Nothobranchius furzeri: one gene and its partners. The protein of the gene in region 4 purifies or fractionates together with the protein of the main gene of each other region. This does not show direct contact. Links are inferred from orthologs where the notes say so. Each region holds a gene or a part of one and is shown on either strand. Other genes may lie near its edges. The genes, in order: srsf7a, UAP56-interacting factor, ranbp2, nxf1a and nxt2.

Region 1 (4,110 bases), on a different chromosome or scaffold from region 4:
AAGAAGACGGGAGGCGCAGAGAATGGCCGTGTTCGAGTTGAGCAGCGCCTCGCCTGGAAAACATACGAGAGCAGACGGAAGAAGCAGGGGGAGTGGCTGAAAGACGGCGTTTTGCCGGGGACACACCGGCCGCGGAAGCGCCCGAAGCGAATCGCTCACGAAGTCCGGCCGCTGCTCGCCGCTCCTCAGTTCAAATCAGACGCGCCCCATTCGAGGCGCGCCTCGGCTCCGCTGTGGATTTTCTTTTAACTACCTGGTGTCCTCAATTTCCTCAGCTCTTTTCCTCTACCTGTGAGTGAGTGAGTGAGTGAGTGGAGAGAGAGGGAGAGGAGAGGAGAGAGAGGGAGAGAGGAGAGAGAGGGAGAGGAGAGGAGAGAGAGAGACTATGGTGTGAACCAGTTGTTTCTGCCAGTTGAATCTCTTGGATTTTCCTACATGTGTAGCTCGGGGGTGACGATGGATGAAGATATCGCGTTAGCATTCACACTTGTTCAATTTTCAATTTTAATTCTGGTGCCTGTTAGCAGCTGAAACACATCCTCACGTGCTTGTGGATATCATATATTGTATATGAAGACATGAGTGTAATAATAAGTAAAGGTTAGCAGCTGTAGGTTTAGTGTGCTCATAGGAAACGTGACAAAAGAAAACAAAACACATTTCTCTTTATGGCCTATATTGTTGTTATTATCAGCGTAACATGATTTACAGAATACATGTGACCAACTAACATTTCATGTTCTACCACCGGATGTTTGGATCAAAATATGAACCAATCAGATCTTAGATCAGGTGAGAGCCAGGCGTTTCCGTCATCCTCTAGGTTTTGCAGCCGAGGGAGAGCAACTGCAGCGCCTTGCTCCAAAATCTGTGGCCGCCTTGATCTCACGAGGTTATCGATGCCTACGTATGCATGACGTCAGAGCAAGTCGGCGTCAATTCGGACACAAATCTAACCGGCATGCACTGCTCGCCGATCACCGCTGGTCTAACCTGCGCAGAACTGGCTCATCTCGAACACAGTCAATGGCTCGAATACAGCAAAGCGGAGTTGGTGATGTACTGCGTTGTATGCCGGAAGTATGCGACGACAAAATCGTGTTTTGTTGAGGGAACAAACAAATTCAAACTTGAATACGTTATTATGTTTGTGAATGTGTACAAAATAAAGGTTTATTACATTTAAAACGGTTCCGTTTTTATTTTGACTTGTTTTGGCAGCTGACCAGTGGGGCCGGTAGATTCTTGGTGGGGCCGGTAAATATTCAGAGTTACCGGCCCGGCTGGCCGGTTGGTTTTGAAGTTAATGTCCACCCCTGCCTAATATTTAATGAGTCCTAAAAATACAAGCAAGCTGTACATTAGGTTCTTCAAAGCGCACACGCACACACACACGCACACACACAAACACACACACACAATTACATTAACCAAATTTTTATATAAGAGATGCACAGAAATCTCAATCAACCTTTCCTCGACTAAAACAGAAGGTTATTTATGATGTTTGCCAGTAAGCCTATCCGTGTGCCTAAATAAATAATTAGTGTTTTGAAAAACACAAGCCTCGATTGGTGCATCAGCATCATGTCTATGAGCCCCACTAAAATACGATCTCCCCTACAGTCTCTAAATTTAACTGTTCATGCCACTGACATTCATGTCGAATGTTCTTGACGGCTATTAGCAATTTCACCGTGTCAATGTTTGTCAGATGCGACAGGTTTACAATACCTGCGTAAGGAGGATACTTTCAGCTTCAGGTGCAATGCGGATTCCTGTTTGTGTGGAAGCCTTGCCTAGTCTAATTCACCAACATAAAATGAAACTCTAGAACAAATTAAATGGAGATTACAGTAAAATAAATTAAAAAAATCAATGACACAACGCACGTTGACGAAGTAAACGGTAAAATCCAGAAATTAGTCGAGGCCCTGGCTCATTAACAATGGCGGTAGCACGCGCTAGTAGGCCTCAACTTCCTCTGCTCATTTTTTTATATTAAAAATCCGTTTCAAAGATTACCTCCAGCTGTCTCAACCAACATTTCGCAGTCACGTTAAGCGGGAAAACAATGATTCGAAAGGACTTCTCGTTCACACAAATAACATGATTTTTTTTCTTAGCTCTTAAATTACTTCACTTACCAAGGCTACCGACGAGCAGCGACGCGTTTCCTTCTTCCTCTTGTATCAGACAAGCTTAATGGAATGACGCACTACCGCCCCCAGGCGGAATGCGGTGTAACAAAATATGGCCTGCTGCCAAGCGCTTCTCTGTTCGGTAGGAAAATTGTAAAATTTATTTATTTATTTATTTATTTATTTATTTATTTATTTATTTATTTATTTATTTATTTATTTTGAACATAATAACACGATACAACATAAATAAATTGAAACAAATAGATTGAAAACACAAGGAAATAATTTGCAACACTTGATGTTCAAAATGAGTTTACATTTTGGGGGCAAATTTATGTTTACTAAGAAACATGGATAAATGTCCACACTTTATTATTATTATTATTATTTACTTATTTACTTAATTCTTTATTTATTTTATTATTACAAACACTATAAAAACCAGCTAAGGCTTGCACTCTCTGGAAAGCATTACAAAATATCTAGTGATCTATAAATAATGTAGCCATCATCTGCATCTGCAACTGATTAAACTTAGGGGCCCACCAATTTAAGATGGTTTCCACAGCTAATTGACCCCAACAAACAGAAGGATGGTTATAATTCAGTCAGTTTACATATACTTTCACCTGGCAGTAGCTGAGAATAATTTCATGATAGCAATGGCAAATTACATTATTTTATACATAATAGGAAATTGGCTACTTACCTAATTTCCCCAAAAATATTTAGCTTCAAATCCATAATTAAAATGCAATTGGTGATATGCAATCCTTCAAGGATTGATAATAATTTTAATTAATAACCAATACATTTGGTAAAATGTCATGGCACTGTCTGATATTATGGCTAATTTATATAATGAAAATATTAATTCACTATAAGAATGGCTCATTAACATTTCCTTAACAAATATACTTTAAAATAATGTCTTATTTGACCCTCTGGAGGCAGGCGTTGCAGATTTGCAACGTTAAAACCTACCTGGTCACTCTACATACCTATTTCATGAGCATTTTTTTAATTCAGAAGTACCCGAAGGACTTAGTTATTCGTCCTTTTATCTAAACTTATTTTGAGCCTGAGAGGGTTAAAACATGCTAATTATTTGATCATTTAAGGTAGAAAATGAAGACAGACACATCATACTTTTAAAATAAATAAACTATATTTAACTAAGGTCAACTTTAGTTGATTAAAGACCTTCTTTTTCTGTCAGTAACACATTACATCTCATGCCATATGTTCCAAAACTACTTTTTTCTAAAGTTTTTTTTCTTTGCATTTCATACAAAACTTTAGTTAATTTATTAGAGCATTGAATAAATGTATATGTCTATCACATGATATTGTAATAACTCCTTCATTGTTTCCCTACAAAGGTTCAAGCAGAGAGAAAATGTCATCATCACAGGAAACAACTTCACAGAAAGACACTGAAGAGCAAGACCTGGGAGGGAGCAGGGAGGTGGGGATAAGAGGGTGAACATTTACAACACAGACACAGAAATATCGTTGGTTCAAAAAATGTTATTAAAAATGGATGCTGCTTAGCAGGAGATAGCAGCAGACAGATGTGTGGTTGTGTTTTTGAATGTTGTATCTCAGAGAGACATTTGTATTTCAAATGTAGGAATTCTATCAGAGTAGACCATGCTGCTAAGACACGAACACGGGAATTTGTCATGCATGTGCAGAGGAACACAGAAAGGAAGGAAAAAAACACAGACACACACTAGGAGGAGTCTGTGAGGCTGGATGGGAGGGGAATCACATCTAAGTACAGAACAGCAAAGGCCGAAGCCGACAGTTAGTACAGAACTTCATGGAAACACGGAACATTGTCGGGATGTTGCATCAGGACAGTTCTGTTTCTGGCTGCTTGAGCCAAATCCGGGTCACATCTGGCTGGAGTGCAGATTGGAGGTGATACATCTGTCCCAGCTGGTGCTGATCATCTCTAACA
Region 2 (4,052 bases), on a different chromosome or scaffold from region 4:
CATGCTGTGTGTGTCTGTGTTTATGCATGCGTGCGTGCATGCATGGGTGCCTGTGTGTGTATGTGTGTATGCATGTGTGTCTGTGTTTATGCGTGCATGTGTGCATGCATGCGTGTGTGTGTATGTGTGCATGCATGGGTGCCTGTGTGTGTGTATGTGTGCATGCTGTGTGTGTCTGTGTTTATGCATGCGTGCGTGCATGCATGGGTGCCTGTGTGTGTATGTGTGTATGCATGTGTGTCTGTGTTTATGCGTGCATGCATGCACACATACGCACACATGGGTGTGCGTATGTGTGCATGCATGCGTGTGTGTGTATGTGTGCATGCATGGGTGCCTGTGTGTGTGTGTTTATGCGTGCGTGCGTGTGTGTGTGCGCTCTACAAGATCAAATGTAGCTGTTGCTGCTCATGGAGCCTGTAGGGCTCTGAATCCAGACCGGGGTGTGAAGCTGCAGCTACAAACACGTGAGATTCCTCCCATAGACGCAACATGGTTACAAAGTTAGAGAAACTCATTTATTTGAAGAAATTACAAAACGAGTCATCTGAAAAATGCGCTGCACACACACACACACACGTGCTATTGTAGCAAACACAGTCGTCTGGAAGGAAAGTGTTCACGGTTTTAACAGTTTCAAGTCCCAAACTTAAAACACGAGATCCCAGTACTGGATATCCACGACACGACAGTCTGAACACAACAAACGGTAGGACTCGTCTGGTGAGACGGCGGCGCTGGGTGGCTCCGCCCCACCCGCTAGCCCACGGTAACAAATCTGCTGCCTTTGCCGCTCTGCGCCGCCGCAGTGCGCTGACCTTTCAGGATCCGGAAACGCTCGTTCAGGGTCATGGACGTTTGCTGAGGAGGGAAGTCAGAGGCCACATGTTAACCGTGCAGATCCACCACCAGCAGCAGCAGCTGGAAGGTGCCGCTCTCACCGGTTTGCCGACACTGTTGATGTCAAACTGAAGAGGAACTCCTTTTGGGATCTTCTTCTCCACCGTTTCCTCTTTCACAGGAGCTGGGTTGACGGGTGGGGGGTACAGAGTCCACGCAGTGGGAGGCCTGTAAACACGATCCACACACAAGCTGAAACCCACCCTACCCACCAGAACCTTCTACGTGCTGCGTGTGCTGGACCGGGCCGACGCTCACTCCGGCTGAGTCCTGGCTGACGGGTTGTCGATAGAAACGGTCAGGATTCCATCGCTGGTTGTTGAAGTCCGCCACCTGGTGGACAAACAGACACACTTAGACCTTCCTGATGGAGGCAGGTATGAGGTCACCTGAAACGGAAGCCCTGCTGTGCTCACTGTCTCGCTTGTGTCGGGGGGGCGTGGGGGTTTGGCCTCCGGACCTGAGCTTGAACCTGAGGAGGAGAGTGACGCGTGTCAGCTGATGGATGGAGGATGCAACAGCTGAGCTGGCAGCAAGTACCTTGAGGCCTCTGTTAAACAGAAACATGGCCTGGCGGGCCTCCCTCTGCGTCTGCTGGACAGGGGGCGGCGGCCTGAGAAAGCAGAAATCCAAACCAGCCCTGTTGTAGAATAAAATAAAGCCGATCGGACGTCACAAAGTAAACTAGTGGGACTCGCTCACCGTCCGCGCAGCTGGAAGGGTCTCCTGGTGGATGTGGAGTTCTGGCCTCTGAGTGGATCGGGCTGCCGGTACAGCCGTCTCTGAGCCTCCGAGCGCCTCGGTCTCAGCTTCTGTAACAACAGATCTTCGTCATTAGGTCGAGTCATCACATGATAAAAAGCGTGGCTGGATTCTGACAGCACAGAAGATGTCTGATGATCGGAGGCGAGGCAGATCCGGGCCTCCTCCCTCAGAAGATGCTCTCGTTAGAGGTCAGACCCAACTCGAGCAGCTGAATGGACATCCCTGAGGGTGGGACGCTCCACCTCTCGGAGGGAGTTCCTTTCCGCTGCTTCCAGTGAATTTCCAGGACTTGAACGAGGTCAGAGTGCAGACCGACTGGAGAAACAACATCTTGGTTCTCTAGATCAGCTTCCTCATAGCTGAAGTATGATTAGTTCACTTGTCGATTCCTACCCGAGGTTCCAGGATGAAATCAAGGTTCTTGTCCCAGCGAACTGATTCCCACATTACCGACGTGGACTTGGGCTGGAGGGTGGATCGGCTACAAGGTGAGAGACAACAACCTAGCAGGTTAGATGGTGATGAAGGGACAACGGTCAGACAGCCGTTACCTGGCTGCCTGCTGATCTGTTCAGGGTCCCGGTCCGCTTCAGCAGGGCAGCTGGCCTCCTGGCCGCCAGCCCCGTGATTAACCCTTGACCCCGCCATCGCCCCGGCAGGGAAGCAACCCCTCTGCTTCTGAACTTAGGGGCTCCTCCTCCTCCTGGTGAGAGGATGTTTGTGACGTCACACGAATGCTGCGTAGGCCGGAGTCTACCTGTCACGGCGGGACTCACCTGCTCTTCCTTGGCCCTTTTTCTTGAACGGTCGGCGGTTCGTGTTGGCTTGTCTCCTTTTGAACTGTCTCTCTTTTTTGTTCAAGCGGATGATGTCATCTGTCAAAGTTAGCACAGCAGCAGCGGGTCAGTCCGCCTGCTACAACAGCGCAGCTAACGGCGCGAGACCCGCCATTAAACACAAACCCTTACCCAGCGACATGTCCACTTTATCGGGAGGCGCTGCCATGGTCGTCCGGCCTTCTGGGAAACCACCTTGGTTTATGAGCAGGTGTAACTAAGAAGTCGGCTAACGCTACAACAGCTGAAACGCCTCCGGAGCTGCTGCTTCTTCCCTTGGACGGGAGACAAACAACGCATGCAGCGTTAGCGCCCCCTGCTGGCCTGGAGGGTGGATCACAACCCATCCTCTCCTGCGGTACTGATCACAATCAGAAAAAGGTTTATTGCCATTGTCAGTGAACAAGCAGTTCACAAACTAGGAACTTGTTTCGGTACTAATGTGCTACATATAACATGAATAATAAATTTCAGAAATAGAATAAAGTAGAATAAAATATAATAAAACTAGCATAAAACTTTCAACTATAAAAAAAGGCAGGTAATGGTAATAATGGTAACATGGCCGGTAACGTGACGTTATGTCGAGTACAGAAGACCAGCATGGTTGTGTGTTTATAAGCTGTTCACAAGTCTAACGGCAGATGGAAAGAAGCTGTTCTTATGGCGGGAGGTTCTGGTCCGGATGGACCGTAACCTCCTGCCTGAGGGGAGCGGCTCGAAAAGTCTGTGACCCGGGTGAGAAGGGTCAGCTGCTATCCGACCTGCACGCCCCCGAGTTCTGGAGACGTACAGGTCCTGGAGAGATGGAAGGCTGCAGCCAATCACCTTCTCAGCGGAGCGCACAATGCGCTGCAGTCTATGTTTGTCCCTCACTGTGGCTCCAGCGTACCACACAGCGATGGAGGAGGTGAGGATGGACTCAATGATGGCCGTGTAAAACTGCACCATCATCTGGGCCGGCAGCTTGGCCTTTTTCAACTGCCGCAGAAGTACATCCTCTGCTGGGCCTTTTTGATCAGGGAGCTGATGGATGGCTCCCACCTAAGGTCATGTGTGATGGTGGTTCCGAGGAAGCGGAAGGAGTCCACAGTGGTGACGGGGGTGTCCGTCAGGACGAGTGGGAGAGATGGGGCTGTGACTTTCCTGAAGTCCACAATCGTCTCCACTGTCTTCTGAGCATTGAGCTCCAGGTTGTTGCTGCTGCACCAGCACACCAGCCGATCCACCTCCCTCCTGTAGGCAGACTCGTCACCGTCAGAGATGAGCCCGATGAGGGTGGTGTCGTCCGCAAACTTGATCAGTTTAACGGAGTCATGGCTCGAGCTGCAGCAGTTTGTGTACAGGGAGAAGAGCAGAGGAGAAAGTACACAGCCCTGTGGAGATCCTGTGCTAATTGTCTGAATGGTGGAAACATTCTTCCCCAGCCGCACGCACTGCCTTCGGTCCGTCAGGAAGTCAGTGATCCACCTGCAGGTGGAGTTGGGTACGTTGAGCATGGAGAGCTTGTCCTGGAGCAGAGCAGGGAGGATGGTGTTGAACGCAGAGCTG
Region 3 (3,517 bases), on a different chromosome or scaffold from region 4:
TAAGGAAATTGGCTGCCAGCCACCTCTTCACATCAGAGACCATTCTTGAGTAATAAATCTGTGTTTTGTCTAGGGCTGCACAATATATCGCAAATATATCATTATCGCGATATCAACATGCGCAATATGCATATCACAAAGAACAGATAAATATCGCAATGAACGGTCAGCTCAAATGTTTGCTACACATGACGCATTCTGTCAATCAAATGGAAGCATGATGCTTTTTTAACAAATCAAATAGAGCTCTTCATCCATTTGGCCAACTGGGTGGGTTCTCATAGGTTAAATGCCCGCCCCCGACACTTAATTTTGATGGTTAGCAAACACCCGAGTTAGCTTTGTTCTGCTCTTTCTGCTGATTCTGCTTTTCCCGGGATCCACTGATTGCCTTTTCTTGTTCATTTTCTTTTTCCCTTTCTTGACACCTTTTGCTTTTCTCATTTTTATTTATTTATTTTTTTTATTTCTTTGTTTTTGATCATTTTTGTTCCACAGTTAAGTTTTAATTTATCGCAAGTAATACTGTCATCGCAATATTAATCACTGTTATCGCACATCGCAGCTTTTTCTAATATCGTGCAGCCCTAGTTTTGTCCATTCATTGCCGAGTATATCTGAAAGTCATCTGCGTAGCTATGGTAGCCTATGCTGTACCATTTTAAAATCTGTCCCAAAGGGAGAAGATAGATGGAGAACAGAATGAGCCCCCAGGACAGAACCCTGCAGCTCCCCCCAGGTCAACAGAAGGCAGGGAGAGGCACAGTCACCCATACACACACACAAAAAAGACCCATTTGCCAGATAGGAACGGAACCAACCCAGGGCTGGACCCAAAAGACCGACCCAGCATTTTAGATAATTTAGCAGGATTTGATGGTCGACTGTATCAAAAGCTGCTGAGAGGTCCAGCAACAGCAGCAGAATGTGGGACTCCTGAGTCGGATGCTACCAAGTACATGAATCAAAGCAGACTCGGCGCTGTGATGTGGTCTGAATTAGGCATGCAAAATTACGATACTGGTATCTGTGCCGATACAGATATTGGTATCGGTAAAAGTTAACAGATACCAGTAACTGATACCAATGCAGTTGCTTGAAAGTGACTTCCCTGTAACTTGTCATTTTTGTTCATCTAATATTTTAGTTTTGTGATCACTTATATTACTTTTTATCTACCTCACAGTCTTTTCCTGTTGAAAACAGAGAAGAAAATAAAACCTGTATTCTAATTCATTGCATTTTTTGGTGTGGTAGAAGTATCTGCATCGGTTATCGGTATCGGTGAGTACTCAGATCCAAGTATCGGTATCGTATCGGTTTGGAAAAAAGTGGTATCGTTGCATCCCTAGTCTGAATGCAGACTGAAACTTATTTAACAGTGCATTGTCCTCCATATTGGCCGTAATCTGTGAATGAACAGCTTTCTCCAAGACCTTTGAAGGAATGGAGCTTGACGTTTTATGACAAATGACTAAAGAAATGACGAATACAGAAATAAACGCATTAATGATAGAAAACACCTAAAGGACAACTCTAGTGTGTTCTCTTTTCTTAATGCATTTCTAAAGTATCGGATCGGGACTCGGTATTGGCAGACTCTGAAAATCAAATGCCTCTGAATCAGAAGCATAAAAACGTGATCGGAACATCCACTACTGTTAACTACATACGTGAACATCAGTCCTAAGCACCTTCTGTACCTTGACCAGTAGTTGTGACAGCTAAAGCTGAAGAATCAGGTCCTGTTTTAGTCTCTGGGTTCTTCTTAGTGGACAGGTCAATCGGGAAGCTGCAGCTGGGCGTTTCGCTCCTAGTGTCTGTTTTGACTGAAGTTAGACCATCGGATGTCGACATGCTTGAAGCCTCTGCACTGTTGGATGGTGGTGCTGAGGCTGGGTTCTCTGGGGCCTCTACAGAACTGCTGGATGCCGGCTCAGCTCCCTTTAACTGGGCCACCTGATTAAATTAAACCCACGTTATTTTATGACTACATCCTTCCCGGTGTATTATGTGTGTATGCCTGTAGAAAATGACTGGTATTCCTGAAAAACAGAAGCCTTGACTGACTAGCTGCAGCATCATGATTACCTGAGCAGATCCTACCATCCAAACCCACCACCAACCTGACAGAACAGACTTAAGCCTTTTTCTACAAACAGCTCCACATATAGCTGATCATGTAAACGCATGTTGGTAAACACCCCCCTCAATAAGTGAACTAAACTCCACCCCCACTGAGTTAGTTACCAGGTCTTTGTGTGCTTTGTGGACTTCTGTCTCAAAGTCTTCAGGCTTGTCGCTGTCTGGGTCACTATCTGTGGTGCTCAGGCCGCAGAAGAATGTGGGTGGGAGCTGGAGGCTTTTGGCCTTCTCCTCCTCCTCTGGTGTTGGTTTCTTCTCCCACACAATCTGACAGTCTGGCTCTGAAAGCAGAACTCACAAGATTAGTGTGACACATCGACGGTGTGACAGCATGACTTGCTCAGAAGAAGCACCACCATTACTGCAGCAGAGCACATAGTTAATGTGGTTAATTCATATTTATTATATTCAATAAACTGTTCTAATGAATCAAAGCAATGATAAATGTTATGTAGATGCTGACTTGACTGAGTTAGACTTACCTTCATGACAAGCTGCTGCCTCAGGAGGATCTAGGTAGAGCTTTCCATTCAAGGCTTTAACTGCTGACTCAAAGTCCTCATCTGACAGTAAAATACAAATTAGTACTATTAAAATAAATATATAAATGACTGCACATGACCAACAACCCAGTTCCAAAACAGAAGCGGTTAGTTTCGGTGGTTCTTGAGCAGAGGTGGAAATGAAAACTTTTCTACCAGCCACTCAAACATTTAACCAGCCACGTTTTTATGTGAAACATTTTGCCTCAGTTAGCAGCTTCTATCTCTGCTCTGAGGGAGTTTCTCTCAACTTCAGCTTTGTACGTCAAACACTCTGGCTGCTTCCAATTCACATCAGTTTATTCCCTTCCTTTCATCTAATCCACAATGAAGGAGAAAAAATCTAGGACTTGGAAGTAATAATACTTAACATTGTGGATCTTTTTACTTGGTAGTTTATTTTAGTATTAGCTGGCTTATGCTAGTGTTGGCCAGTGTTGGGAGTAATGCGGTACAAAAGTAATTAATTACTGTAATGCATTGGTTTTTGCTGTAATGTGGTAATGTAAGGCATTACAGGGAAAGAAAATGGTAATATTTACTCGGTACAATTGTCAGTAACGCAGTAATTACAATGCATTTTTAAACCCAGAATCCAGATGTGGGTTTCCTAAAAATTCAAATCGCGGGAAACCCGAAGAAAGATCCAGTATCTGCATATATTACGTCATTTATGGACTCAGCTTTGCGGGCAGAGAGGACGCCGCGGTAATGGCTCAAATACTCCAGCGGCGTCCTGCACGCGGCCGCTGCAACATTCACAAAATCGCTCCACTAAAACAAAATAATTCATATCAGCGCATGTTCTCTGGTATTCTGTACTTTTCTGA
Region 4 (2,568 bases):
GGAATCGAGCATATATCCCACTGCGTGTGTCCCGTGAGGGCAAGTGGGAGACCCCACCTCCGTTCTCATCGTAGAAAAAATCTTAAATCGCGTTGAATGACCAATTCATTAAATCAATTTCTGAAAAATAGTGATTTCCAGAGGAAATGCAGAGAAGCGCTCTGTAGGCAGACAGGACAAAAAGAGCCTTGGGAAAGCAGATAAGGGAGCAAAGCAGAAGCGACTGTGCTCTGTGAGTGCCAGGAGAAGCAGCATTCCCCCAGGTTTCTGGAGTTGACGCTGCTGTAAACTAGTCAATGTGTTATGTGGAAATAGGATGGTGTATGCACCGGTTATGCAGAATAAAAATAACTCCCTTATCTATGAAAGGTATTACGTGTGCACCATTAAATCCTGTATTTTAGTTCTAATACCATTCTGTATCTTTTCTGTCCACATAAGCATAACATTAATAAAACTACCCAGCCTTTTCCATGTTTTTCTTTCAATATGAAGTGAAATGTAATAACTGCTTTCCGAAAAATATTTTATTAACATTTAACAAATTCCAGATTAACAACTTTAAACAATTGCCCATCACGTATGTATTCTATGAACACGTCTCCTATCATCTATACAGAAAGACTACTGAGTGACGTGTAACTAGCAAAGACAGCAGCTCAAAAGAAGACTTTTAGCTGTTAAAACAAATTTAACATGAGTAAACCTGAATATTGTGACTGTAAAATTAGGGGCAGGAATAAAAGAAAACATGCTATAAATAAAATTACAGCTGGTTTTATTTCACAAAAAAGGTTGAATTCTTCACTTTATGAAGGCCACATCAGGGATCTTGCCATCCGCCTGTACACAGAAGGAAAAAACATCAAAGCCTTAGTTTAGCTTTATTCTTCTGTGTGATGAAAAACAAAAAAAGGAAGATTTGATGTTCCATTACCTTCAACTGTGTGAATATCTGAGCAGCTCTGTTGAAATCCCACTCGTTGTCCAGCAGACATCTATGACAGTAGTACAGGGTTTTAGAGACACATTTGGTTACATGTAAAACATTTGATTATTAGAAAATATTACAAGATCCTTACTTCTGTGACCATTCCAGGTTCATGCCCGACTTCTGGGAGAAGGACGTGAGCATCTCTTGCTGGGGCGCTGTTAGTGTTGGGACAGGACTGGAAGATGGGGTTGGTGCTGGAGCTACAAACGCACGGCGAATCTCCTCTGTCGTCGCCATTCGGACGAATAGCTGATCATTGACAATGCACAAACTGTAAAAACAGGAAGCAGTCAGTGAGTTTTAAATCCTCTTAGTAGAAGGAGGAAACTTTCAGATGTGTGAAAGATTCTGTCACACTGCAGGGTTTGCGAAAACGTCTGAGCCACTCTGTAACGGATTTGTACATCAAGAAGTGGGGTGCCAGCCAGGTCTCTCTCCTGACATATAAGATCAACTGCATCAATTAGTTAACCTTGATGTACGCAGAATCCCTAAAAAGAATGCAACATAGAAACACCCTTCTTCAAAGGAGACACTAAACTAAAATTACTTGATCAACTCAAATTGAGACATCACACAACCAACAACAAACAAATCAGCAGCTTATTGCTCCTCATTAATTATTGATTCGCATCAGTGACAGGGAAGCTACCAATGTAACCGTTCTGCGCTCGGCGGCACTCTCGCAGTCAAACTCTATTTTGAACTCACGGAACCCGACTTTCTCCCAACGGGTCTCGTGGTTCTCGCAGAAGAGCATAAGTACAGAGGTCCAACTCAGAAGAGGAACCTGGGTGAAACAGCTGCGCATCCAACCGAAACTGCGATCCTGTCCTCCTCTTAATCTCTGCTGTGGATTGGCATTCTCGTCTGTCCTCCGTTTTGTCGTTTTCACAAATATTCCCCTTTTTTCAAAATGACTTATTTCTCTCCATCAATCCTCCTTCCGCTTGTCTGCGTCTCTGCCTCTCACTGTCAGAGGGGGCAATCAGACACACCTAATCAGGTCACGCGCCTCTTTTTTAAAGATGCACTCGCCACAGAGGAAATGACATAAGGAAGCATGTAAGATAAAAAAAAAAAAGAAAAAAAAAAAAAAAAGAAAACACAGAACTGGCAAACTGCCACACCGCCTGCTCATTATCATCCGGCCAGCCTCTAAAAGGGGCATTTCTGTTTGTGAACGAGAACGCCCACTCCAAAACGGGAACGCCCCGTCTTATTCGCTCCTGAAATGTTACTTCACCCCCGATGTTTCAAAATAAGTTATTTTCTCCGCTCATCTGTTTTCCGTCTTTCTTATACAGGTATTGATCATATGTGCTCATCCTGCCCTTTCATTTTGTGTTGCTGGTTTGAGGTGAGCGCGCGCCACGCTCTCCGAACCCGAACCTGCCTTTACAGTCAGGTCCATAAATATTGTGACATCGACAATGCTAACATTTTTGGCTCTATACACCACCACAATGGATATGAAATGAAACGAACAAGAAGTGCTTTAACTGCAGATTGTCAGCTTTTATTTGAGGGTATTTACATCTAAGTCAGGTGAACGGTGTAGGAATTACAACAGT
Region 5 (3,949 bases), about 63 Mb from region 4:
CATCATCTTATAGGAAATAACAGTATAAACTACATTACTGATGACGTATGATTCAGCTTTAGCCCAGATCAAGAACCATTAATGACAACAGTCTCATCCAGTCAGATTATTTGAACAAGAGCTGAGAAACACAGATGAATAACGGAGGATGTTATAACAATCTAATGAATTTAACATCACAAGCTCTGGAGTTAACCACTTTTGGGAATGTTGCTCTAAAGTTGTTTAGCAAGTGGAACAGGAAAAGATCCGGCCTATATAATTGCAACACGTGGAATGATGTGTTCCTGTTTGTCCATAATGTTGCTTCTCTGTGTGTGTGTGTGTGTTGGAGGGGTGGGGGGGTATTATCTTTCAGTGTGCAACACAGCTGTTACGGATTGTTAGTAAAAGATAAAATAGTCTAGACATCTGCAGTTATTTCAGTTTAACTCTTAAAAAATGACATTATCTCAATCAGCTGGTGGCAAAGAAGAATTAAGTTGCTGTTTTGTTTTTTTAGTCTAAATCCGAGACGTGGTTTTTGACCAGAAAAGGGTAGAATGCCTTCTCCAGGTCAGGGATGAGGTCTCGCCTCAAGTGGAGGAGTTTAAGTATCTCGGGGTCTTGTTCACGAGTGAGGGAAAGATGGAGTGGGAGATCGATAGGCGGATTGGTGCTGCATCTACAGTACTGTGGGCGTTGTACCGGTCTGTCCTGATGAAGAGAGAGGAAAAGCTCTCGATTTACTGGTCGATCTACGTTCCTACCCTCACATATGGTCATGAGCTTTGGGTAGTGACCAAAAGAATGAGATCGTGGATACAAGCGGCCAAAATAAGTTTTCTCCGCTGGGTGGCTGGTCTCTTTCTTAGAGATAGGGTGAGAAGCTCGGTCATTCGGGAGGGGGTCGGAGTAGACCCGCTGCTTCTCCACATCAAGAGGAGCCAGTTGAGGTGGCTCGGGCATCTAGTTAAGATGCCTCCTGGACGCCTCTCTGGTGAGGTTTTCCGGGCAGGTCCAGCCGTAAGAAGACCTAATAGAAGACCCAGAACACGCTGGAAGGACTTTGTCTCATGGCTGGCCAGGGAGCTTCTTGGGATTGCCCCAGAGAAGCTGGCCCAAATAGCTGAGCGGGGGAAATCTGGGCTTCTCTGCTTAGGCTACTACCCCCGTGACCCGACCTCGGATAAGCAGCTGAAAATGGATGGAAGGATGTCCTTGGACAATACACTTAACCCATCTTGCCTGCTGGTGGGGGTTGGTGGGACTGGTTGCACCTGTGCTTGGCAGCCTCCCCTCTGTTAGTGTGCCCCAGGGCAGCTGTGGCTACACTGTAGCTCATCACCACCCGTGTGTGAATGGATGAATGATACACTGAAGTGCAAAGCTCTTTGGAGTCTTCTGACTCTGAAAGGTGCTGTACAAGTGTGGGTCATTTATCATTATCATTTATCAATATGGACACCCGATAAGAACCATTCCACATCACAAAACAAAGTCCTGCTCATTAGTGTAACGGCGCACAGAGATATAAAAGTGAGCCAGGAATGTTAAAGAAAATGCCGACATAAAGATAAAGATGGAAACCAAAGAGTAGATAAAATCTAGGAGGGAAATGTCAAACGCATTACAACATAATAAAAACCTTTGTAGATAGATTACAAAAAAATTAAATAACAACAATAATAACAATAATAATAATATATGATTGAATATAATTTTTTTATTCAATTTGAAGGGTCAAATAAATGTATTCATGAATTTCTATATAAATTTTGTTTTGATTTGTTTAAATCTCCCATAAAATGAGGATTTAAAAAAAAATTTAAGCTAAATTTATTGAAAAATAACTCTAGGATTCTTACACATTTCTAATGTCAGACTCAAGTATTTTCAAGACCTCTTCAAAACCTCCAGTAACTACGTTGCATGAACAGAGCAGAAACACTTGTTTCACTTCCCTGTCTAATGAAAGTAAACAATTGTTGTGCAACAAATCTCAGTGAAACCTTTTTCATTCAATTACTTTCAAAAATTTTGACATGCCACAAAAAATTCAAACATTCTTAAGAATTTTGAGTCACCTGTAATCAGAAATTCTAATAAAAAAATTATAACAGAAGAGTACATGTGTCGATGCATGTTATTAATTTTCAAATAAATTGCAGAAATGTACATAAATATTAATTTTAACTTTTTAAATTTTAAACAGCGTAAGTGTTTCCTGAATATAGTTACAACAGGAATCTAGTAAACGTTTGGATTAAAACCACTGCTCCCTAGTGAGGAAACTGTGGAACAGCAGTTTTTATAGCTTACATTCCAAAAGAGAAGTTTATAAATATGTGATCAAATCTGGAAAGGTCCTGTATGTTCATAAAAATAATGAAAACCAAGTGTGTTTAAAAACAATCAACTTTCAGACGCTCACCCTCCTTTTCTTGTCCATGCAGTCGTAGTAAATGTTAACAAACTCCTCCGCATACCTGCACGACTGGTCGGCATGGGTCCTGAAATCCTGAAGTGATAATCAGGCAATAAATACATTTAATTTAACTAATGCATTTATTTGAGCTTAAAATGAAAAGTAGCATACCATGATTAGCTTCTGAGCTTTTGGCTACAGAAGCCACGTGTAACTAAAGTAATAAACTTACCAGGGTACTTGCCATGTCTACATGTACATATGGACTAGTGCTGCACAATACAAATCAGAAAATTGTAAGAATTTAGATGAAAATATTAAAACTTGCAATATTTTCTCCCTTTGTTCGTTTAGTAAGCGACGCATGTGGCCTGTAGCATGTTTTACTTCCTGAGAGCAAAACTTGAACCTACCAAAATAAAAGGCATGAACCTTTGGTCGAATTCAATGAAGTTTATTTATCACAATGTGTGTGTTTTATATAGTTTTACAAAAAATATTATAGGAAAATACGGTGCTATATTATGCTATAAATAATATGTACAGGAAAAAAGTGCAACAATTTGGTCCTTGTGTTTTATTTTGAAGAGAAAAAAATGACCTAAGCGGATGTAGAGCTCACAATTTCCTGAGTCATCGCGCTCGCGAACGCAGCAATTTCAAACATTACCTTGAAGTTTTATTTAATTTTTGGACTATGGAGGGTTCTGTGTCTAACGTGGAAGTCTGTAATTTAGCATACACCGGTCAGTACGAGAGACTAAGACAGTGTGTTATGCTAGACAAAACGCTTGCCAGCAAAACGGATCAGGTAAGAATAAACGAACTAGCAATTCCAGCGTTATTACTTTTTCTTTTGTTTTTTCCAAATGAGCTGACCTGGTTAATCTCTGGTTTCAGGACGGCAGGACCGCTCTACACTGGGCTTGTTCGGCTGGTCACACCAATATAGTGGCGTTTCTGCTTGAACTGGGAGTTGATGTGAATGTGCAAGATGATGTATGCATATTCTATGTTAAAATAAAACTAAAGAGTTGGTTTTAGTTTAAGCCAGGGGTGCCCAATCCTGGTCCTGGAGGTTTTATCCAGCATTTTTAAGTTTTAACCCTGTTTCAACACACCTTATCTCCGTCAGCAGGCGATTAACCTTTAATTAGGAGGCTTCTGCAGAGCCTGATCAACTGCTGCACAGGTGATTCAACCACTGAATCAAGTGTGTGGGAGCAGAAAAACCACAAAACTTGCTGGATACCGGTCCTCCAGAACCAGGATTGGGCACCCCTGGTTTAAGCTGTTTTAGAAAGGTGACATCTTACTAACACCGTGCGCTTTGGGTCATTCCCCAGGCCTGTTGGACTCCTTTGCACATCGCTGCATCTGCAGGCAGAGAAGACATAGTGAGGGATCTGATATGCAAAGGAGCTCAGCTGAACTCTGTCAACCAGAACGGATGCACACCTCTGCACTATGCTGCCTCTAAAGACCGATATGAGGTAGAGTTTGCTGCTCACAGTCACAATAACTGGGACTACACACTAGACC

The links.
Region 1: the proteins of nxf1a (region 4) and srsf7a purify together in Homo sapiens (affinity purification with western blotting; 3 studies listed by BioGRID and IntAct, with this or other methods). This does not show direct contact. The link is inferred for Nothobranchius furzeri from reciprocal best matches to the Homo sapiens genes NXF1 and SRSF7.
Region 2: the proteins of nxf1a (region 4) and UAP56-interacting factor purify together in Homo sapiens (affinity purification with western blotting; 3 studies listed by BioGRID and IntAct, with this or other methods). This does not show direct contact. The link is inferred for Nothobranchius furzeri from reciprocal best matches to the Homo sapiens genes NXF1 and FYTTD1.
Region 3: the proteins of nxf1a (region 4) and ranbp2 purify together in Homo sapiens (co-immunoprecipitation; 5 studies listed by BioGRID and IntAct, with this or other methods). This does not show direct contact. The link is inferred for Nothobranchius furzeri from reciprocal best matches to the Homo sapiens genes NXF1 and RANBP2.
Region 5: the proteins of nxf1a (region 4) and nxt2 purify together in Homo sapiens (co-immunoprecipitation; 5 studies listed by BioGRID and IntAct, counting the BioPlex papers as one, with this or other methods). This does not show direct contact. The link is inferred for Nothobranchius furzeri from reciprocal best matches to the Homo sapiens genes NXF1 and NXT2.

The regions. Positions count from the first base shown.
Region 1 is NC_091753.1:46,881,478-46,885,587, forward strand, and holds the start of srsf7a (serine and arginine rich splicing factor 7a), read right to left. Parts: upstream 2,814-4,110; 5' UTR 2,148-2,813; intron 2,132-2,147; exon of another isoform or gene 2,026-2,131; intron 1-2,025.
Region 2 is NC_091751.1:69,956,026-69,960,077, reverse strand, and holds UAP56-interacting factor, read right to left. Parts: upstream 2,803-4,052; 5' UTR 2,671-2,802; coding exon 2,634-2,670; intron 2,541-2,633; coding exon 2,442-2,540; intron 2,369-2,441; coding exon 2,217-2,368; intron 1,713-2,216; coding exon 1,603-1,712; intron 1,541-1,602; coding exon 1,441-1,540; intron 1,373-1,440; coding exon 1,317-1,372; intron 1,234-1,316; coding exon 1,159-1,233; intron 1,069-1,158; coding exon 942-1,068; intron 862-941; coding exon 760-861; 3' UTR 497-759; downstream 1-496. UniProt on the Homo sapiens protein: Required for mRNA export from the nucleus to the cytoplasm. Acts as an adapter that uses the DDX39B/UAP56-NFX1 pathway to ensure efficient mRNA export and delivering to the nuclear pore.
Region 3 is NC_091747.1:23,235,794-23,239,310, reverse strand, and holds part of ranbp2 (E3 SUMO-protein ligase RanBP2), read right to left. Parts: intron 2,709-3,517; coding exon 2,628-2,708; intron 2,427-2,627; coding exon 2,251-2,426; intron 1,960-2,250; coding exon 1,695-1,959; intron 1-1,694. UniProt on the Homo sapiens protein: E3 SUMO-protein ligase which facilitates SUMO1 and SUMO2 conjugation by UBE2I. Involved in transport factor (Ran-GTP, karyopherin)-mediated protein import via the F-G repeat-containing domain which acts as a docking site for substrates.
Region 4 is NC_091741.1:88,110,464-88,113,031, forward strand, and holds the end of nxf1a (nuclear RNA export factor 1), read right to left. Parts: intron 1,266-2,568; coding exon 1,083-1,265; intron 999-1,082; coding exon 938-998; intron 844-937; coding exon 805-843; 3' UTR 510-804; downstream 1-509.
Region 5 is NC_091741.1:25,497,696-25,501,644, forward strand, and holds the start of nxt2 (NTF2-related export protein 2), read right to left. Parts: upstream 2,805-3,949; 5' UTR 2,655-2,804; coding exon 2,640-2,654; intron 2,501-2,639; coding exon 2,414-2,500; intron 1-2,413. Other genes in the region: psmd10 (26S proteasome non-ATPase regulatory subunit 10), read left to right, coding at 3,105-3,218, 3,308-3,406, 3,754-3,900. UniProt on the Homo sapiens protein: Regulator of protein export for NES-containing proteins. Also plays a role in mRNA nuclear export.